3 linked regions of the Pelodiscus sinensis genome follow. The protein of the gene in region 1 interacts with the protein of each later gene in a pairwise test. Links are inferred from orthologs where the notes say so. Each region holds a gene or a part of one and is shown in the gene's direction. Other genes may lie near its edges.

Evidence for each region. The genes of interacting proteins can lie anywhere in the genome.
Region 2: the proteins of MYOD1 (region 1) and ID1 interact in a two-hybrid assay, tested with the Homo sapiens proteins (5 studies listed by BioGRID). The link is inferred for Pelodiscus sinensis from reciprocal best matches to the Homo sapiens genes MYOD1 and ID1.
Region 3: the proteins of MYOD1 (region 1) and ID2 interact in a two-hybrid assay, tested with the Homo sapiens proteins (2 studies listed by BioGRID). The link is inferred for Pelodiscus sinensis from reciprocal best matches to the Homo sapiens genes MYOD1 and ID2.

The regions. Positions count from the first base shown.
Region 1 is NC_134714.1:112,691,643-112,699,420, forward strand, and holds the start of MYOD1 (myoblast determination protein 1), read left to right. Parts: upstream 1-4,364; 5' UTR 4,365-4,696; coding exon 4,697-5,245; intron 5,246-6,613; coding exon 6,614-6,692; intron 6,693-7,341; coding exon 7,342-7,592; 3' UTR 7,593-7,778. UniProt on the Homo sapiens protein: Acts as a transcriptional activator that promotes transcription of muscle-specific target genes and plays a role in muscle differentiation. Together with MYF5 and MYOG, co-occupies muscle-specific gene promoter core region during myogenesis.
Region 2 is NC_134728.1:1,841,205-1,847,534, reverse strand, and holds ID1 (DNA-binding protein inhibitor ID-1), read left to right. Parts: upstream 1-4,044; 5' UTR 4,045-4,224; coding exon 4,225-4,626; intron 4,627-5,114; coding exon 5,115-5,150; 3' UTR 5,151-5,554; downstream 5,555-6,330. UniProt on the Homo sapiens protein: Transcriptional regulator (lacking a basic DNA binding domain) which negatively regulates the basic helix-loop-helix (bHLH) transcription factors by forming heterodimers and inhibiting their DNA binding and transcriptional activity.
Region 3 is NC_134713.1:28,837,550-28,845,532, reverse strand, and holds ID2 (DNA-binding protein inhibitor ID-2), read left to right. Parts: upstream 1-4,707; 5' UTR 4,708-4,898; coding exon 4,899-5,246; intron 5,247-5,740; coding exon 5,741-5,797; 3' UTR 5,798-5,805; intron 5,806-6,549; 3' UTR 6,550-7,224; downstream 7,225-7,983. UniProt on the Homo sapiens protein: Transcriptional regulator (lacking a basic DNA binding domain) which negatively regulates the basic helix-loop-helix (bHLH) transcription factors by forming heterodimers and inhibiting their DNA binding and transcriptional activity.

The DNA.
Region 1 (7,778 bases):
TCAGCTAAAAAGCTAGAAATAAGTTATACTCTAAATCCCAAGCAATGCATTCTAAACAATATATTATGAACTCTGTAAAGGGATTCAAAGGGTTAGCTGTGTTAGTCTGTAACTTTAAAAACAATGAGTAGTCCTGTGGCATCTTAAAGACTAACCAAAATATATAGAACCATGAGATTTCATGAGCAAAACTCACTTCATCAGATGAACTGGAGTGGAAATAACAGAAACCAAGGGACATATATATATATATATATATATACGCACACACAGGCAGTCCCCGGGTTACGCACAAGATAGGGACTGTAGGTTTGTTCTTAAGTTGAATTTGTATGTAAGTTGGAACTGGTACATATTGTAGGGGAAACTCTAGCCAAACATTTCTCCAGAGCTCAGTTTTATTCTCCCACACCTCACTTCCCTCAGTCCTTTATTCTCAAGCTGAGGTGTCTGCTGAGAAAAGCCGCTCCGCGTCTCCCTGGTCTGCTGGGGGGAAGGAGCTAGTGCGGGGTTGCCTCACCCCATTTGTAAGTAGGGATCCGATGTAAGTCGGATCCATGTAACCCGGGGACTGCTTGTATAACAGAAAAAGTATCTGCTAATTAACCTATGTTAATGGGGCTAATTAAGTAGGTTGGATGCCCCATACATAGCCTTTAATGTGGAAATGTAGATGTTAAAGGCAGGAGAAATTGGCCCTGGATTTGTTTGGTGCTAACATTTTGTTCTAAGGGCCAAATTCTGCCAACTCTGTTCATCTCAGTAGTAATTTACTCCAGACACTGCACCACTGAAATGTCTGGGGGTACGTGCACAGCTAGGATACATCTACACTGAGGCACTATTTTAGGATACTAATACTAATCTGCATCTTGACAGCATGCCCATTATTTCAAAATAGCTTTTGAAATAACAGGCACACTATTCTGATGTCCCTGTAAACCTTGTTCCACGACAATTAAGGGACGTTTGAGAATAGTGATTTATTTCAAAATTTGGCGCTGTGTAGACTCGATATATACTCAAAATAAGCTACATAATTTGCATAGCTCAAAATGAGTAGATTATTTGAGCTAAGGGTGCAGTGTACACCTCCCCCCCCCCCCAGACAGTACTTAGTATGAGTGAACACAGGTGTCAGATTCTCTCCCTAACGTGTGTCTACACTCCACTGGAACTCGAAATAAGCTATGCAATTTGAGTTACGCAAATTGTGTATCCCATTTCAATGCTATTTCGAAACAGCTTACTTAGTCATTTGGTGCGGTCTACACAGTGCCAAATTTCAAAATAAAGCACTATTCGGAAACACCCCTTACTCCTTGTAGAAAGAGGTTTACAGGGAGGTTGATATAGCAAGCTTGAAAAAACGGGCTTGCCCTAAAGACGCAGGATAGCCAGTATCCTGAAATAGGTTGTAGACTTACCCTAAGTATTTTACTAACAGATGCTCTTAGGTGAACCGTAAGGTGGAGTGCAAATCTACATGCCACACACAACAGGCCATGTCAACCACCGCTGTTGCGCTATTACACTGAGGCGATAGCTTCAAATAGTTGCGAACTCACTCTCTTAAGGGGCGTCTGTACTAATGCAGTAAGCTTACTAGAGGAATCAATTTGGCCCTGAAATATAGGACTGCAATTAACCACTGCTAGGACACGTCTCCCACTCCAACAGGGGGCCTCCAGTGCCGCTCCAGCACTCCCCCACCCACGCACACAGCTGTTCCGTACGGTCTGGACGTGGCCCCCGGCTGGCCACGCTTGCAATAGCTCTGCCTGGGCTCGGCACACGCTGCCCGGCGCCAGCGGGCTCGGGGCACGGCAAGGCGCGCCCACCCCGGGAAGCTGGCGCCATGGGCAGGGTGAAAGGGTGAGTCTCTTCGCTCGCCTGCAAAGCTGCCCGCGCCCCGGGCGATCCCCACGACACGGGTTTCCTCTGCAGTTACGAGCAGCGCCACACGCGAGGGCTGCAACACGCTCCGGCCGCCGCGGGCCATACACCGCTGGAGAGGGCGGCGGCGCCCCCTGGCGGGCTAGCTGTGCCGTCGGGGACGCTTTTAGCTTTCCTGGTTGGCCGCTTATGGATGGTGAAACCCCCCCTGCCCGCTAGCCTGGTGGGACTCGGGGGAAGTTTCTAACCAAGCTCTCCCCGCGGAAGAGGCTTTCTGCGCCGGGCCCGGCAGGACCAAGGCTCCGCTGGGCAAGGCTCTGTCTCCACCTGCTGGCTCCTTCGCTGGCGTCTGGCTCCCCTCCTGGCTTTCTTCTGCCTCCCTCCTTCCCCGGACTTGGCGGGAGTGAGCCCAGGAGCTGGCGGCGAGGCAGCTTCCAGGAGCGAGCGGCGATGCTCCGACCCCAGGGCCCGAGCGGGAGCAGCAATCAACGCCCGGGACCGACGGCCCTTGCCCGCAGCGCCAGGCATTTCCCGTCCCTTCTCTCCCCCCGACAACACACTCCCCTCTTCTAGCTTTACACCTGGTTTTTCCGGGTGTTTCCGCTCCCGCGCTTGATCAGCCTGGAGAGGGTTTGGGAGCGAGGGGCACAGATCCTGGCAGTCTGATCAAAAGTCCGCGGGAGGGGAGGGGGGAGAAAAAGAGGGGACTGGATTAAACACTGGGAGGGAAGGAAAGGCGTGGTGGCCGCCGCCTCCTCTTTCTGCAAACAAGTCCACGTCCGAGAATTGCAGTGATCCGTAATGACAAGTTGCTGGTTAGACTCAGAATCCCACAAACCCCACGTAACGCCTTTCTGGGTCAAAAGGCTGCAGTGGGACACGAATCTAGAGCTAGTCTAATGTACGGCCATGAATCATACAGCCACCCTCTGGCGGTGGGGGAGAAGGTTAGCGATGGGCAAGGCCAGATGAATGCAGTTTGAAAGTACCACGCACTCTACCGCCTCCCTCTCCTCCCCACACAGACATTTCCTTTACTGAACGGTCCCCTCTCTCCAGTTTTCTCTTAAACAAGCTTTTATTCCTGGTCCCTATTCCCACAGCATTGCACACTGTAAAAAGCAAACCCGAGCCAGTAACGAACAAATCCATTGCATCTTCAGATGGAAGTCGAGGATCAATTGCAGTATCTCCTCTTTTCGAAATGGGGAAATGACAAGTGGGCAGCCACCAGGCTGGTCGGCACAGTGTCCAGGAAAAGGCGGATCTTTTACAAATCAAACTCAAAAGCATTATTATCTGGCCAGAGACATGGCAGAGCAGGGTCTGGCATAAGGTAAAAGGCATTATTATTACAACGGAGTCACGTCCGTTTAATGTGATGTGAAGGCTAGGTGGAAAGTTTTCGACCCATTCGATGTTTTCTGCTATCAGACCACAAATTAAGTCAATCAAAGAAAATTATTTAGAAGGAAAAACGCAGATAATATAGTAATCCTTTTTACCTCCAGACGGTTTCTCGGACTCCTTGAAATCAACGGAACCCGATTCCTAGATCCAAAATTACACAGAATTTTTTTTTTCATTTTTGAAAACGATTAGATGGGAAAATATTAGGTTCCTAGGAGAGAAACTAAAGGCTGGAGAGAGAAAGAGAGGGGGAGCATAGGTGTAATCCTAAAAACAGCATTCAGATCACTCGCACTTCCTGAAAAACAAATTACAAGAAAAAATATCAACCTGCAACGCGAAACTTTATTTCCATTTGAACGAAAAAAACGGTTATTCATATATTTAGAAGAGGGACAAAATTCACTTACAAGCAACACCGACTCAATACACCTACCACCATGAAAGATATATATTTAAATGTATGTATATTCCTGCCACTAAAGGAATTATCAATAAGTTGGTTCTCTTGTTTTATTGTCTTGTTTCTTAAACGCTGAACGGAATAGAACTTTTGCAAAGTTCAATACAAGAAATGAGAAATATATTTCTCTATCTCAGTAGTCAATGGTTTAACAGCAAAAATCTTTTGCGCTTAGCAAAGCCTCGGCAGGGAAGAGCCCAGATCACAAACTGAATATAAACCGTTTGTGTTTATTTTCTTTTCAGTATTATTAATGTAGAAGCCTTTACATGAAAAAAACCAATAATAACCTACAATCTTTGCATAAATACGTAAGCCCCTAAATACCATTAGAACAAGGGTGAGAACAGGAGCGCTCATGCAGAAAAGAGTTAAAATAAAGATGATCCCACTGTGACGCTTATTTTCTGGCTGCAGTTTGACATTTGCAGAAAGTTTCCTACAACTTTTGCCTGACAAGGGCTCCAGCTGCCCTCCAATCAGACGCGCCCCCCTCCCTGCCCACCCCGTCCAAGACCCCAGCCACTGCCTCCTTGGGACTAAGGGATTGGCCGGCAGGTGAAAGGGAGCTCGTCCTGTAAGAATCCCCACCCTCCCTCGAGCAAGGCTGCGGGATAAATAAGAGTCACAAATTGTGCTATCCGGATGGGCACCAGGGGAGGGTAATTCAGTGCCATGCCAAGGCTGAGCTGAACTGGGGAAGGGAGACAATCACCAGCCAAAGCTGAAGAACTCTTGTGCCCAAGCCTAGGAAAGCGTCTCTCTCCGAATTAACTGGAGGCCGTTGCGTGAGAGCGGCTCTGTTAAAACTCGGGGGGGACATTCAACTACATTCATCTGGCGGCTGGGAAATAATCTCCCCGGTTCAAGCTCGGCTGGGTTCCCCGGACGCTCTGCCCCTGCCCGCCCCGCCCCTCGGCTGCCCCCATGGACTTGCTAGGCCCCATGGAGATAACGGATGGCTCCCTCTGCTCCTTCTCGGCTGCCGACGACTTCTACGATGACCCCTGCTTCAACACCTCGGACATGCACTTCTTCGAGGACCTGGACCCGCGGCTGGTGCACGTGGGCGGCCTGCTGAAGCCGGAGGAGCACCCCCACCACCACGCGCACCACCACGAGGACGAGCACATCCGGGCGCCCAGCGGACACCACCAGGCCGGCCGCTGCCTGCTGTGGGCTTGCAAAGCCTGCAAGCGGAAGACCACCAACGCCGACCGCCGCAAGGCGGCCACCATGCGCGAGCGGCGGCGCCTGAGCAAGGTGAACGAGGCGTTCGAGACGCTCAAGCGCTGCACCTCCACCAACCCCAACCAGCGCCTGCCCAAGGTGGAGATCCTGCGCAACGCCATCCGCTACATCGAGAGCCTGCAGGCGCTGCTGCGGGAGCAGGAGGACAGCTACTACCCGGGCCTGGAGCACTACAGCGGCGAGTCGGACGCCTCCAGCCCCCGCTCCAACTGCTCCGACGGCATGGTGAGTGCTGGGGCGGGGAGGCGGCGATGCCCCCAGATCCCTGGGCGCGGAGGCGTCCAGGACCTGCGGGCCCTGAGATGGGAAAGGAGCCCCCCCCCCCCAGAGCCGGCCCCCTAGGAAAGAAACGGGAGTCCCCACGTGTACCCGGACTCTGGGATGGGAGATGTGACCTCCCTCCTGTACCCTGATCCGGGGGGGGGGGGGGGGGGCTCCGATGTACCCTGGTCCCTTGGAGGGGAGATGTGGGGGCGCCTCTGGGCGGGGAGTCCGTCTTCCAACCCTCCCCTCCGCCCCCCGTGAGCAAAGTGTCGGATGGGTTCTCTGGGAGAGGAGAGCCAGGGACCCCCCATTCTCCTGTGCCTGTTGCTCTTATCTCTGACCCCTGCAGAGACAGACCTGGGGCGAGTAGCTAGGATCTGCTGTGCCATAAACAAACGTGGGATTCATAGGAGGGTTGGTGAGAGACAGGGCTGTTTTGTGGCCTCAGTCACAGTGGGTGCTAGCACACTTAGATATCAGCAAGGAGATCTGGGGTCCTTATGAGTTACCCCTCTGCGGACATAGGGGCACTGAGGTTCCTGATCACCTGGGAGTGCAGGGCTGGAGATGTCTGTCTTGGGTTCCATGTTCTCTGACCCTTATAAGGGGAACTGGAGGGCAGGGAAGCTCCTGAGCCAGGTGCAGTGACACGGGGGGAATCTCATCATCTCATTGTACAACTATGGTTGGCCCTGGCCTCCTCTCCTACATCCTAACGCAGAATACCTCTGAGTTGGGAATCACAATAAAATGTTTAGACACATTGGGACAGAGGGCAGTTCTCAGAAGGGGCTGGTCCTTTCTGTAACTGAATATTTGAAGGAAGGGATTTATGTACAGAATCCCTCCTCAAAATACAAAATTCTCTTTTTGTGGTAGGATCCCTATCGTTATGTGTGTGTGAAAAGTACCAAAGGTGAAAATAAACCATTCCAGGCAGGATGTTTTCCATATGAAATGACAATGGAAATAAATTACTGGTGGGGGAAAACCTTTAAAATATTATGAGTTAGGTTCTTTCCCCACCATCTCTCTTAAATCAAGGACCAAATGTTCTGTACCATAATTCAAAGATACAGAGCAATCCCTCATTACAATGTTTTGAATGTTTCTTCCATGAGTACAGATATGGCAAAAATCCTTGCAATAATATAAAATATTCTGGATTTAGTATCTTCCCAGAAATGTTGTTTTCCCTGATTCAGGGAAGCTGAAAATTCACCAGGAACTGGGGCTAGGGCACAGACCAAAGACTGAAATATGAACTGAGATGTGAAAATTCTGCTTCTGAACTGGTGACATGCTGCATCCATTGTTTTCTGGTTTCAGTTAGAGTACAGTGGACCCTCTTGCAGCTCTCGCAGGAGGAATAGCTATGACAGCAGCTACTACACAGAATCACCAAATGGTGAGTATTTGTCTTAATGCCCAAGACAAGTGTATGAAGGTAGAAACTCTCAGTAAACTTTGCCTGCTCTTTCTGTCACTTATGCTCAGCAAACTCCAGAAGGAAAAACTCCCCAGCAAGCTGTGGGCAATGACACAGGACACCTCCCCCCCCCCCAACTGTTTCCGTATGATTCTGTTTGCAGATGTGGGGAAATCCTGCACATGCATTTCCTGTAATAATTATAAATCCTACACTATGCTTTGGCATGAATATTTATCCCTGAAAATGCTTCAGATTTTAAATTGCTTTGCAACAGAGACTGGCCCACCCAAAATCTTATCCAAACTTTGGAGAAGTTCTCATTTGACTCCAGAGCAGCCAACCCCCTTTCTTTAGCGAACCAAAACCCTGGCTCCAAATTCCTTCAGGCAGGTAGTAGTTCACATCCAAACTTTGAGGCATGGGCCCTTCTCTAACTTTTCAAGTTCAAATATTATCTCTGCTTTTTTAGTGATTGGCATCTCTCAATAATATATATTTGGTATATATTTCCATTGAATCTTTATCTGCTCAGAGCCATGCAAGGCTGGTGCTCTGGAAGAACTACCTCCCCTTAGCATTAATTACGCATTGGGTTCATTGCTTTTTTTCCCCCCTCTTTCCTTAGATCCAAAACATGGAAAGAGTTCAGTTGTCTCCAGCCTGGACTGTCTATCAAGCATTGTGGAGAGGATTTCCACAGATAATTCCACCTGCCCAGTGCTGCCCACAGTGGAAGGTGGAGCTGAAGGCAACCCCTGCTCACCCCAAGAAGGAGCTACCTTGAGTGAGAGCGGAGCCCAAATCCCCTCTCCTACCAACTGCACCCAGATTCCCCAGGACACCAACAGCAGCAACCCCATCTACCAAGTATTATAAAGTCAGGTCCAGCTGCACTGCTGTGCAAACATAAACTGCTTCATGCTGCAAGCTCCAAGACTTGCCTTGAAAAGACTTAAGTATTTCTTTTTCCAGTTCTAAAATCTCTCTCAAAATTCCTTCAAATGTTTAATTTTTCAAGCCTATATTACTTCAGAATACACGCAATTATTTATTGATTGTTGA
Region 2 (6,330 bases), on another chromosome or scaffold:
GCCCCTCCTTTCCCAGCTCCCTGCCAGCGAGAGCCAGGGGCTCCACGTAGCCAGGGCCCCAGGAAGTGTCTGGCACAGCAAGTGCCTAAACTTGGCTCTGCCTCCAGTAGCAGGCGCCCGTCTCCTCCTCTTGCAAAGAAGTGAGCCCAGAGGTCGCCGGGGAGTCCAGGGAGACGAAAGAAAACCCCGAGTCATCTACCCCTGCGAGAGAAACCAAGCGCACGCAAATCCCCCCCCCCACCCGCCAATAAATAAACAGGGGCCGCATCCCCTGAATCACCTTCCGCATCGTGCCGTAAAAACGTCAGAGATGCAACTGGTAGCGTCAGCACTGGACCTGGGAAAGAGCCATGCGGAGGAGGACGAGCCATGGCAATGCTGCCCGAAGCCAGCAAAGACAACCCCAGGGATGCCAAAAACCAGCTTCTGTCCATCGAAACAACTAGGAACCCAATACGCCTCTTTTTCGCCGCGTGATCCCCAAGCGCCCAATCCTGCCACGCAGCCCCCATGCCACTCTTGTGGGAGTTTTTCACAGGTGGGTGGGACGGGGACCCGGCATCTGGCCAGCTGATGGAGGGGCATACGGGAGACCTGTGCTCAGAGAGGAGTTTGTGCAAGCATGGAACAGCGGGGGTGTCTGGCAGACAGGGCTGAGGCCCCTTGCAAATCTGATGTCAGTGGCTTTCGTCTGGCATATTTGCTCTTCCCAATGTGCAGCTAGATGCCACTGGAATAGACCCCATGGGGAGCCACGTCTTGGCCCTTAGGTCAGGGCACTCACGGGCAGGGGCGGATGAGAGTGCTGTGGGGCCCCGGGCAGCGAAAATTCGCAGGGCCCCTCCTTTGACACGGCGCATGCACGGGGCCTCGGGAAGTGCGGGGTCCGGGGCAGCCACCCCGCTCATCCTGCCCTAAATCTGCCGCTGCTCACGGGCCTGCATCCAGCGGCATTAAAAGAGCCTATAGCCTCCGGATCCAGACAGTGTTTGCCTGCTTTGCTCCTCTGGTGCAGGGTGACTCTTTACACACCGGGTAAAACTCTTCAGTGTGGGAGACTGAGATCCTGAGGGGCTGGTCCCACCCAGTGGGACCCCCAGGAATAGGGACCGTTCCCAGGTGTGTCTCTGGTAGATCTCAGCTGAGCACATCGGCTGTGTCTACATAGGCAAGATTTTGCACAAAAGCGGCCGCCTGTCTACATCGGCGGGGAGTTCTTGCGCAAGAACACTGACGTTCTAATGTGTGAAATCAGGGCTTCTTGTGCAAGAACTATGACGCTCCTGCTTAGGAATAAGCCCTCTTGCACAACTGTTCTTGTGCAAGAGGCCAGTGTAGACAGACAACATGAATTTCTTGCACAAGAAAGCCCGATGGCTAAAATGGCAAAAGCACCTCTCTTGCGCAAAAGCACATGCCAGTGCAGACGCTCTCTTGCGCAAATACTTGAATGCAAAAACTCTTGTGTTAAAAGTATTTGCGCAAAATCTTGCCAATGTAGACGTAGGCAATAACTGGCCTGCGGGCTGCACGCGGTTCGCCTGGGTTAGCTCCCGGCAGGCCACCTCTGCTTTATTTACCTGTACCGCCATAGGTGTGGGCCCTGGAAGTTCCCATTGGCTCTGGATTACCATTCCCGGCCAATGGGAGCTGTAGGAAGCGGTGTCTTGGCCTGCACCACTTTGCACAGCTCCTATTGGCTGGGAACGGCGATCCACACCAACAGGAGCTGCAAGCAGCCATACCTGCAGAGGCACAGGTACATGAAGCGGCCGCCCACCAGGGCCTATCCCTGGCGAACTGCCTCCATGTTATTGTCCACCCCGTTCTAGTTGATGGCCGTCTTCGGGTTGGGAAGGGAGTACGTGGGGGAGTCTCTGGAACTTGGACATTTTAAAATCAAGATTTGAGGCCTTCAGAAACTCAGCCAGAGGTTCTGGGCCAATTGCCTGGGACTACGTCTACATGGGCACGATTTTGCGCAAATACTTTTAACGCAAGAGTTTTTGCATTCAAGTATTTGCGTAGGAGGGCGTCTACACTGGCATGTGCTTTTGTGCAAGAGAGGTGCTTTTGTGCAAAAGCATCTGTGCCAGTGTAGACGCTCTCTTGCGCAAGAAAGCTCCAATGGCCATTTTAGCCATCAGGCTTTCTTGTGCAAGAAATTCATGTTGCTTGTCTACACTGGCCTCTTGCACAAGAACAGTTGTGCAAGAGGCTTTTTCCTGAGCGGGAGCATCATAGTTCTTGCACAAGAAGCCCTGATTTCACACATTAGAACGTCAGTGTTCTTGTGCAAGAACTTGCGGCCAGCGTAGACAGGCAGCATGTTTTTGCGCAAAAGTGGGTGCTTCAGCGCGAAATCATGCCAGTGTAGACACAGCCAGAGTGTGTGTGGGGGGCAGAGGGGAGAGGTGCTTGGCTTGTGACATGCAGGTCAGACCCACATGCTCAGGATGGTCCCTTCTGGCTTTAAAGTCTATGAGACCATCCCAAACCTCACCTCCTCCCACTTCTGGTGCAAGGCCCGTGTCTTTGACCTGCCTTCTCATACATGTACCTACCTTGGGCCCGCCAGAAATCCAACCCCCCCCCCCCGCCCCACACCCACATCTGGCCCCGGGCGCAGGAGAGAACAAGCGGGTGAGAGATGTTGGCCAAGGGACCCCCTGAAAGGCGTCAGACGCCATGGTGATGAATGAACGTAGTGTCACCACCGACGGAGGCAGGTGACCTGCAAATAAAACCGGGTTCTAACACACAAGCGGGAGAGAGAAAAAGGATGGTCTCGGCCTAGCCTGGGAGGCAGGAGATGCCTGCCGTGTTCCCGGCCCTGCCAATTCTGAGCAAGCGCCTTAGCAGCTCAGTGCCTCGGTTTCCCCAGGTCAAGCGGGAGTAACGATCTTTGCTTCCTACAGTGTCATGGGGGGCAGGAGGCTGCATTGACAGAAATATCTGCTTGCTTGCACTGGAAAACAACCCCTCAGCTCTCCCTCCCCCCGCATCCCAAGCCACAAACGGGTGTATGGGAATGCCCGGGGGGGCGTCCCGCAGGTGCGAGGGGGAGGGGCGGAAATGGAGGGGCTAGAGGAGCGACCGGCCGGGGTTGCAGGTGACGGGGGGGAGGGGGCGGCTCCCTGTTTGCGGTCTCCATGGGCACCGCCCGCGAGGCGCCAGGCTGACAGCGCTGGGGGTTTTATGAATGGGTGACGTCACAGCCCTGGCGTCGGGCGGTCTGCGCAGCTTGGGCAGTCCCAGAAGCGGCCGGCCGAGGGGCGGGGGCTCCGGCGGCTGCTGTGGGAACCGCGGAGACGCCGAGAGGCTCCACAATGGGCGGCCCGGCAAAGCGCCCCCCCCTCCCCGGGGGGGGGGATTGCAAACGCGCCGGGGCAACGCGGCCCAGCTCAGGGGGCGCTGCAAATGTGCACCAGGAGCCCGCCAGCTGCTGCTTCCCCCCCCCCCCCGGCCTGGATCGCGACGGAGCGGGGAAGCGCACACGGGGGTCTCAGGGACGGTTTCCAGGGGGCCTCGCCGCGCCCGGCAGGCTGCCCCCGAGCAAGGGGAAGGGCCTGTTGTAATCGACGCATCCTTGCAATCAGTAACAGGCGCTGGGTGCGGGGCCGCTGCCCGTGGGATCGGGCCCCCCTCCCCCCCGCTGCTGGGAAGACCGGATCCCGGGCTCGCTTAGCGCTGAGCAAGCCCCTCCCCCCACGCTGCAGCGCTGTTGCATGGGCTGGGGTGTGCCTGTGTTCAGCCTCCCCCCTCCCCCGGGCTAGGTGTGGGGCAGCTGGATTTGCCAGCGGTGGGGAGAGGCATTTGCCAGCACGGTGGGGGGGGGCGGTGTCGGAAGGGTCATTAAGAAGCGATTCCAAGCGCTCGTCGCCTTCCTTTCATCCTCCCCCTTTCTCGGCCATATGCCCTCAAGCTGCCTCCACCTGCAAGCCGCCCCCCGCCCGGGAAACCCTCCCGCCCCGACCATTTGTCTCTGCGCGGCACTGTCCCTTTAAAAGAGTCTCCGAGCGTGCTCCAGGGGGCGGGGCGGAGGGGAAGCTGCGAGCCACGCCCCCTGGAGGATGGCGCCTCGGATTGGCTGCGGGGGGCGGGCGCTGGCCCCGCCCCGCAAGGCCCCGCACTCTATAAGTAGTCGGCGCGGCCGGCGGCGAGCGAGTGCTCCTCGCAGGGTCCTGCCGCCGACGGATCATCGACCCCCCCGCCCAGCCGAGCATGAAAGTCGCCAGCGCCGCCGCCGCCACCTCCCCCGGGCCCAGCTGCGCCCTGAAGCGGGTGCGGCTGGGCGGGGGCGCGGGCGAGGCCGCGCGGTGCCTGTCGGAGCAGAGCGTGTCGCTGTCGCGGGCCGGCGGCGGCTCCCCGCGGGGGCTGCCGCTGCTGGAGCAGGCGGAGCAGGCGGCGGCCGCGGCCTCGCTGCTGTACGACATGAAGGGCTGCTACTCGCGGCTGCAGGCGCTGGTGCCCACCCTGCCCCGCCACCGCCGCGTCTCCAAGGTGGAGATCCTGCAGCACGTCATCGACTACATCTGGGACCTGCAGCTGGAGCTGCAGCACCCGCCGGCCCGCGGCCAGCCCCTGGGGGGCGGCCCCGACGGGGAGCCCAGCGGCGCTGCGGAGGTGAGACGGCCGGACCCCCGCTCCCCAGTCCCGGCTGCCCTCCTTCCCCGCGCCTCTGCTGGGCCCCGGTGCCGCCCCCACCCGCTGCTCTGCAGCCCTTGATTCTGGGAGCCCAGCCGTGCTCTTCCCGCGGGGTGCTCAGGCCGGCCTGCCGTGAGCTTCCCCATAGCAGTGCCCGGGGAGGGAGATGCAGAACGTCCCTTGGTATACAGGCCCTTCCCGTGATCTGGCTGCCAGCGTTGGGGTGGCCCTGTGCAGCCAGCCCCCGCTCCGGCACAGGCTGACAGGGTGGGGAAGAGGGACTGAGAAGAGTCTCTGCCTAGATCTGTGGGGCTGGCCTTCTAAAAAGCCCATCTGGTTGTGGGAGGCTGGAGTGAAGCTAGCTGTTGTGCCTGCTGGCCTCTGAGATGGGGGGGGATCCTGCCATAAGGGCCAGGGGCTGCCCTGTCCCCAGACTGGTGATTTACCCTTTGCCTCCTCCATTCCAGGCTGCCTGCGTGAGCGACAGGATCCTCTGCCACTGAGCCCCTGCCTGGGAGCAGGGAGGACTCCTAGCATAGAGGAGCAGTAGCTTCCTCTGGCTCCATCCCGGGGCGCTCTGGCTAGCGCCCCCCTCCACTGGAGCAGGCCGAAGGGAGAGCCGTGGAGAGGCAATCAGCGAACGAGGGCTCCTGAGCGCGGGCCGGCTGGGATCCTGCCAGGAGGGCCAGGCCCAGTGTCTGCAACAGCCCTGGCGCTGCAGCTGCTGCTGTGACATCAAAGACTCTTGAGACTTTTCTGTACCAGAGACTGTAACTTTATGAAAGCCGAACCCGTATCCTTCTCAGATGGCTGAGGAGATCCCCTGTATTGTATATTACAATGATGCTACCGCGAATATTGTTCTACAATAGCTGGAGTTTTTGTTATTAAACAAATGCTGATTGTTGGTGGAGAGCTGGCTCCTTGTCACCCCTGGCTCCCCTCTGCCAGTCTGGGGGGTGCCTCTGCCCAGTGCTTGCTGTGGGGCTTTGCTGGACTTGGCTCTGTGACCGGAGCTGGTCACTTGTCAGGTGGGGGAGCAGCTGGCAGCTCAGTTGCTTCCACAAGGCCAGGCTGCCTACATGGGTGCTAGTCTGGAGGCATGTGAAGAAGCTGGTCCCAACAGGTTTGGGGGTCACCAGGCCTGGCTTAGACTTGCTGAGTCTGGCTACTCAGGGCTGCAGGCGAAGCCAGAGGGATTCTGCCATGTAGGTACCAGGCCCTTGGCCTTTGAGTCCTATCCCAGAGTGGTAGGGGTCAGGCTGTGTGGGCACCCCCCCCCATCTCCAGCAGTAGGGCTTGGGAGGGCTCTGCTCTTTCTCCAGGGGTGGTGATGGGGGAGGCACCCCTCTCTGGCCTCTGCCTCCACTCCCCTGGTGCCTGTTGAGCAGTGCAATGACTCCTGCAGTGAGGGGTGACTAGACTCCCACGGCTGCTGTAAGCCCTGGCCCAGCTGGCCAGTTTGGGGACCGTTCCAGCTGGGTTGGACAAATCCCTTGATCAGAGGTGTTCAAAGGTGCTCTTCCCCCATTCAACTCCAACCCAGTTTGGGAAGGGGGAGCTGGGGGAGGTGCTCAAACAGCTACCAGCAGTCAAAAGCTACATCTTGAACTTTTTAACCCCACCAGCTGGGCCATGAATTGCCTCCTGTCAGACAGGAGTTCTTGCTTTGGCCTCAATAAA
Region 3 (7,983 bases), on another chromosome or scaffold:
TGCTTCTATGGAAACTGCAGCCTGATTAACCAAAAAACAATCACTTTCATGGCAAAGTTTTAGCAGGAGCCGGCTCATGCTTGGTTCAGCTACATTCCCCACTCTCTAAGCACAATGTGTTTCTTGTTATGACCAAAAAAGACAAAAATGGGACACAGGTTTTTTCCTGTATGAGCTACATCATAATATTAAGATGTAAGTTTAGTTCTAGACAAACAATCTCTTGTTGCATTTCTGAGATGGAGGTTAATGAATTCCCACAGATGATGTTGGCCAAACAGTGGTCAGCTTGTGACTTGATTTCCAACATCATGATGTGAAGGGATCAGTATAGAAAAGCACTTTGAAGGAAAGAGGCTGCCTACAGCAGGATTGTTTCTACAAGCTAATTGTACTAAGTGCAGCTGCACAAAGCTGGATCAACAGTAATAGAAGGCGGCGCAGACTTCCTGACGCCAGCCCTGCAGAGCTCCCACCAACAGACTGGCAAATCCAGATTGTTTTCCAGACCTTATCTCTCCCAAGTTTCTTTTTTTCTTTTTTTTTAATTTTTTGACCGGAACAAAATAACAGGAAAATCCTTTGTAAAAGCAGAAAACATTGTTACAGATCAGTGCACTTCACAGAATTTGTAACTAAATATTTTGCATGCAGGCTGTCCCTCTATTTCTCGTCTCCCCCCACCCAAAAAAGTCTAGAACTGCATTATTTGAATGGAGCTGAAACATGAGCCAAATAAAAACGATCAGGCCATTGAAAGCAATTGAGCTTAGAGGGAGATTCCACCAGGTCCATTGCAAACCTCTGTTTAGCCAACATATTTTAGTTTGCTGAATTGTAGCAATAAGGTGAAGGCTCAGGATACCAGACAGATATTAATAAAGTCTAATAGAGTAAATACATGGCAGTTAAAGGCTTGTGTAGAATTTCTAGTTGGTTTGTATAAATACATTTTATAACAACTACACGGCGTTGGGGGATGAAAACTTTTAAGATCCCTAATGATGAGGTAAATACATGGCTGATAGCCAAGTGCCGCCAGACGGCTCTGCTTCGGAGGAAGAACTCAATTTCCCCAGGACTTCGTGTGAGGGTCAAACCCAGGAGGCCCCACCGCTTATGTAAGCCAGAGGCCGGTTCCTAGAAAGCCACCGCACTGGGCTGGGTGAGCCAGCAGGGTCGAGACCTTTCCAAAGGGCGCAGCCTCGCTGCCCTTTCCCGCTCTTAGCAGCGGCCCCTGGCCGTGCTTTCACGGGCGTAGGGCTGACAAGGGGGGCACCCCGCGGCCGGGTGAGGCTGCCGCCGGACAAGCTGCGGAGCTGCCTGGCCCAGAACGAGCCCGCGCGGGAGCTGGCGCCGCGCCCAGGGCCCCTGCTCGGCGGCCCGGAGGAGGGAGGGGAGCGGGGCCGTGCGCGGGGCCCCGGCTGCAGGTGCGCCCTGGCGGGGGCGGCCAGGCCGGGCCCCGCCGCTTCCCACAGCCCAGGGCTCAGCCCCGGTCTCCATGGCAGCCGCCTGAGCGGCGCCGCCGGGCCCGGCCGGGGAAGGAGGGAGGGAGGCGAGGGGTGATGTCACGGGGCTGGCGCCGCGCGGTCCGGCCCGGCCCCGGGGGCTGGAGCTGTGGGGGCGGAGCCCCGGCTGGGGAGAGCCTGGGAATCCCCCCGTGCGCCCCACTCCGGCTCATTACGGGGATCCCAGTCCCGGTGCGCCACGGCGGGGGCTCCACGCCTCTCCCCACCGCAGAGGCGGGAGGGGGGGGGGCTCACTAGCTCCGCTCACCACAGGGAGTCGGCTCTCAGTGCTCCAGAGAAGAGCGGTCCCTGTGGGAGTGACGGGGGGGTCATGCCCTATGGAAGGGGGCACCCTTGTCACCACTGCAGCGTTGTGGGGGGGGGGACGGGACTGGGGAGCGGGAGAGAGATCAGCAGACGAGCCCTGCTTTGTCTGACAGGAACTCGCATATTTTCCTTCCAGATGTTAGCAGCAGCAGTGTTTTGAGGTTGGGGGTAGAGAAACAGGACTGCCATTTTAAGGGAGTCACAGGTGTAATGTCATTTAGTCCTTGCTTGCAAAGTTTTCTAAGATCCGTAGGGAGGTTGCTACAGGCGTTCCAAGGTCCGGCGTACTCTTTTCTGAGATTCCCTACATAAAATCCCGTCCCCTTTCGCCCAGTGTGACAATAAAACCCAAAGTTATTCCACGACTGTACGGATTAGAAAGGAGTTATTCCCTCCCCTGACTCCCAAATTGGTAGTCTGTCAATTGTAAAATCTTTAAAGAGTGAAACTTTGAAAACAGGCCTTAAGACCAATTCATAATACCAGGGTGTGTAAACATAAATCAAGAGTCAATCCTTTACCCAACAGAAGTGAAAACACTTTTCACCCAGAAAGTAGGCATAGTGATCATGGTGATCTACTTAGCCCCTCTTAATATATAATTCTACTCTATAAAACAAGTACAAAAAACCAGAATGCCTTCAGTACTCAATATAAAAGTACAAAATCACCTATGAATGAACAAGTTCTTTGTAAAAGCCTAGGAGAACGTTTCTGTAACATTGTCTCATTATCCAGGGATGGCAGATAATGAGAGAAACATGAAGATATGTTTATATTGGCTATTGTTGTAACAATAATAGTGTCAAAACAAAGTCTGTTCCACTGGAGCACATGTGGAACAGAAATACAAGCAAGTCCGTAGGGTAAAACCTGTGATAGTAAATCACCAGATTTAATATAAATGAGGTTTTGTCAATTTAGCATTTCCTGAGGATTGGAGTTGCAGTCAGTATTTGTTTTAATTAAGCTGTTGATTTGCCACACATTTTTTTATTTACTGTGCCTTTTAATTGTATTTAAACAATGTACTTGTCTTCCTGTAAGATTGAATGGAGAGATTCACTTTCACCCTTCACATTTCAAAATCATTGAATTGTGTTCTTGTCAGGCTCAGCACCGCCTACACCCCCTAGATAAAAGCCCTGAAGCAAATAAGCTTGTGTTGCAGTCAGCAAAATGTCCTGTCAGAGACCTCCCCAAATACTAGCTAAGGAATGCAACATTAATTGGAGGAAAATATTGATTGATCCCTATAGAGCTCTGCTTCCAGTTGCCAATAATGTCTGTCCTCCCCCCTCGGAGTAAGATGAAGGTTGGCAACAAGGAACCAACAACCTGGATAAATCAAAGACTTGTGTGTCTTCTTTAATACAGTTCTTAAATTCCCACAGTGACTTTACATCTATCCATCTAATGTAAGTGGGTTTTATGCAATACAGAACTATATGTATTGGAAAATGTAATAAGTTACTGTACAATCATTTTATAGTATGTAGTAATATTTTAAATACATAAATAATGCCAGGTCAAAGCCACCCTTTTTACCCGTGCTTGTATTGGTGGTATTCAGTTGTGTTTGTGTTAGTGTCCCTCTTCAGTGTCTCTATTTTAGCAGGTTTTTATGTCCTCACCCTCTTTGGAGTTTTATATTTTACTTTATGTATATTTATTGCATTTTTTAAAAAATTGTAAGCCGTCTCAAATATTTTAAATAGCGAGGTGGGGTAAAAATATTTTAAATAATAAAATAATTTCCATAGATAGTTTACGATTTCATAACTTTAGCCTTCCTTGAGTAGTATGAAAAATCTTGGGAATTAGTTCTGAATCTGGCAGTTGAGTGCACACAAAATGAGCAAACTGCAATTGGGCAAAAGGAAAATTTCAAAGATGATTTCTCTCAAGATAATTCCTGTTTGTAGTATTTCTGGAAGATGCATTTTACTGGTGCTAAGCAAAGATGCAACAGTACAGTAAATACACACATTTGTCACTAAAATCAATCCATGCAGAATTAATTACAGTAATGTCATGCACTGGTGGATTAGGTCAGCAGCCTTTCAGAGGTAATATGTGCAAAGGTATTTTCAACATTTGCCTGTCTCCAATTAATAGCAAATTTGACAGCAAGCTAATAGTGTCTTCTCAGTCTTTAAAAGCCCTGAGCGTGAGTTTTATAGCTGAGTATTTTGTCATTACAGGAAAAAGTTCCTGTTGATTTTGTTTCTTTACTTGACTTTTTTATGCATACCCTTCCTGCAATGTTTTAGTTTACAGTACTTATTAGTGAAGCTGACTGCTGATGTAGACAACCATAATTTAAAAGAATGGTTTGTTACTATAATTCAGTTTAACTTTCAGGAAGTATCAGGCTTCAATGACACAATGTTACAATAGAGACTATCTGCTTATGGTGTATTTATAGTCATCAGTGTATGACTCCCTCAAGCCCCACACATATAAATGTTCATAATGTGCTTATGTCTCCCAAAGCCTAGTTCAGTTTCGTATCCTAAATTTGCTACATGTTTCATTCCAACTTTAGCAAGCTAGCTCTTTAAAATAGAAAAGAAAATATATGGGGAGTGTCTGTTTGCACCAAAGAGATCTGAATCCTCTGTGATCCGACCAGGCTCTTTGCAACCACAATGCATAATGCCCATTTCATTCCTTTCTCAGTGCCTTTGTAAAATGAGTCAGGAGGCTCAGCAGTTACTGTACAGTATTTACTATCCTCAGCTGTGCTTAGAACAGCCACGCCCCCTTCCCTACGATTGGCTCAGAGTGCGGAAGGCCTGAACCTTCTTTTAGGTTTCATTTGTACCAGTGAGAATGTCTCACAGTCTGATGGACACATTGGGTGCCTCCAATGGCAGTAAGCACTGGCTAGGTTTGGCAGCTGCTGAGCCTGCACTATAAAAGCAAGTAGAGGCAGCTTGCTGCTTCAGTCTGAGCTCAGGCAGCTGCTTAGAGAAAGAAAAGGAAGTGAGGCAGTCAAGCAGGCAGAGTGATCCCTTAGTGTGTGTTTTCTGTGCCCTGGAAATCAGGCTCTCTTCCAGCATGAAAGCTTTCAGTCCTGTGAGATCCGTCAGGAAAAACAGCCTCTCTGAACACACCCTGGGAATATCCCGGAGCAAAACCCCCGTGGATGATCCTATGAGTTTGCTATACAACATGAATGACTGCTACTCCAAACTGAAAGAGCTAGTGCCCAGTATCCCTCAGAACAAGAAAGTGAGCAAGATGGAAATCCTGCAGCATGTTATTGACTACATCCTGGACCTGCAGATCGCTTTAGACTCTCACCCCAGTATTGTCAGCTTCCATCACCAGAGACCAGGACCAAATCCTTCCTCCAGAACTCCTCTGACCACCTTAAACACAGACATCAGCATCTTGTCATTACAGGTAAGTGTACACAGTGTTATTGTAGTTGTGTTGTCCTGAAGAAAAGCTCTGCATAAGCTTTAAAGCTTGTATCTCTAAGCAACAGAAGTTGGTCCAATAAAAGATATTACCTCACCTACCTTGTCTCCTTAACCCTGGCTGACTTTTCTCCCTCCTGTTTCTTGGCCTATATACAGTGACTGAGTTTGGCTTAATAATGACAGTGGACGTTGTTGTTAGGGAGTCAGTATTAGAGAGCTGTAGCTTTTATGACAGGGAGTGACTGGCATGAGAAATGGTTACTTTAAAAAAAACCCTAATACTTAATAATTTTAGATTGAAATAGATGGAAATGTCCCAATTCCTAGACAGCCCTAGTGATGCTGGTTGTCATTGTGAAACTAAATCATGGCATGGTATATGGAATGAACTTCATGATCCAGAGTATTTTGTATTTTTTTATTGTGCTGGTAAGGTATTTAACACTGTGCTGTTTTATTTTTTCTTCTTTGCAGGCATCTGAATTCCCTTCAGAATTAATGTCAAATGATAGCAAAGCACTTTGTGGCTAAATTCACTGGTGAGTGTTTCATGCTTGGTTTTTTTTAAAAAAATAAATGTAATGTGAAATACAATTCATTTGGGGGGTTAAAGGACTTTCATTTTTGGGGATTAAAATGTGTGTATGGGCTTGGATTTAAGACATAGTGAATAATACAAATAGGTTTATTGGAGGATGCCTTTATAACCAGTATTTAAGCCATAAAAATTGCACTAGTAATTCATTTGGGGGTAGCCCAAATGAAAGAGTATTTTTGCCTTTGCTAATAAGTAGTATAGACTGTTTGCTCTGAGACTATTTCTTTGTACTTACATTTTACCACATAATGTAAATTCTGTTTCTAAAATCCTAACCTTCATATGAAATGACTGATTTAGTTGAGGATTTTAGCATAATCCATTAAGTTTTGTCATGTGGAATTGTCTGCACTATCAGTTAAGTAAGTGTCTGCTTTTAATCAAATAATTGCTGTAAGAGGCAGACTGGCGCCTCTGAGCAGTGCAGTTACAGAGATCCAAATAGAGATTGGACTGAGAATCCTCTTTCTCCCCCTCCTGCTTGAATGTATGTTATTTTAATGTTTAATTTGTGCTTTTGAGGGGGTTTTTGTGTGTGTGTGTTTTGCATCTGGACGCCAGGGTTTGCCCAATCTTTGAGTGTTTGGTTAAATGTTCAAACTGTGGCTTCCTCTCTGGCGCCAGTCTGTCCGGATCTCTGCCCTGTTAGCATTCTCCTAAATTCTCCTTTTTCAATCTTTTGCAGGTGTTTGCTGACTTTTCCCCCACAAGAAAATGTCTGCAGGATTTTTTTTTCTTTTTTGAGGTGCTGAACTTATTTTTCAGCTTTATCTGGAGGGGGAATCTATAATTAATGGAATGGACCTTTTAAAACTAATAAAGAAGAAACTTGAGATTGTCTCCCTCCCCTTCAACTTGGACTGATCTTAGCTATTTATGAAGAGACTTTTAAATGCCCTTTCCCTAGTCGGAAGGTGCCCTTTATATACTATTCCCAGCCTGGGGAGTGAAACAAAAACTCACAAGGAATTGCCCATTTTAAAGCAGACTTTGCCTTTTTTCCAAAGGTGGAGCGTGAGTATCAGAAGGACCCAGTGTTCAGTTTCTTAGGGAAGTCCATGGTCAGAAATGACCTTCTGATGCAAGCCTAGGATTGAATGCTGTGTATATATTTATATATGAATATATATATATATATATATATATGTATATGTATATGTATGTATATATATATATATATATATGTGTATGAGTGAAACCTTGTGAACTCTTTAATTAGAGTTTTCTTGTATAGTGGCAGAAATGTACATTTCTGCAAAAAAAGTGTAATGATGTACTTAATCATGCTAAACTTTTTATAAAAGTTTAGTTGTAAACTTAACCCTTTTTTATACAAAATAAATCAAGTGTGTTTATTGAACTGAGTGCCTGCCTTATTCTTGGGGACCAACAGTTTACTGGGTATGGGATACTGTGATTTTACAATGTAACAGTTCAAGTATGTGTAGAACATAAATAACATTATTATTAAGTTACTAGTTTTAATTCTTGTAATTTGACTTATTTAAATGTATGTTCCAACTTTCAGCTGAACACCTTATGGACAGTGTGTAAGGAATTGCCAGAGTTGTGGATTATGACAGAGAGGATGCTATTGAAGAACGGTTTGGAAACATACACAAAAGTTGTTAGTCACAAGAGATACCCTTGGTGTTTGATTTTTTTTCCCCCACCCTCTAGTTTAGTTGATGACTCACTTTCAGTTCTCCCATAGTGCTGCCCAAGATCTGGTAACTTGCTCGTTGAATAATTACACAGAATTAAGGGTTGCGGGTGGCTATTAGTCTCCCAACCACTTAATTCCTGCAAAAGGCTTTGAATGCAAAAGTTGCTGATGCGTTAACATGTGATTTGGAATAATGAAGTGACTGTTGCCTTTCCACACTGGAATGTACATGCTTCCATGCAATAGCTCAATGAAATGGGTTTTCTAATCAGTTGCAGCAGCTTCTCCATATGACTAAGATATTGAGAACTGAACTAAATCACTGCTGTTACTGATTAAATTTTGGCTGCTCCAAGCTTTAATTCAGTCAGAAAGAAATTAAGCTGATAATGAGACTTAACATTTTTAAAAGCAAAATGTGATTTGGTATTTCTTGCATATATGCCCTCGTAC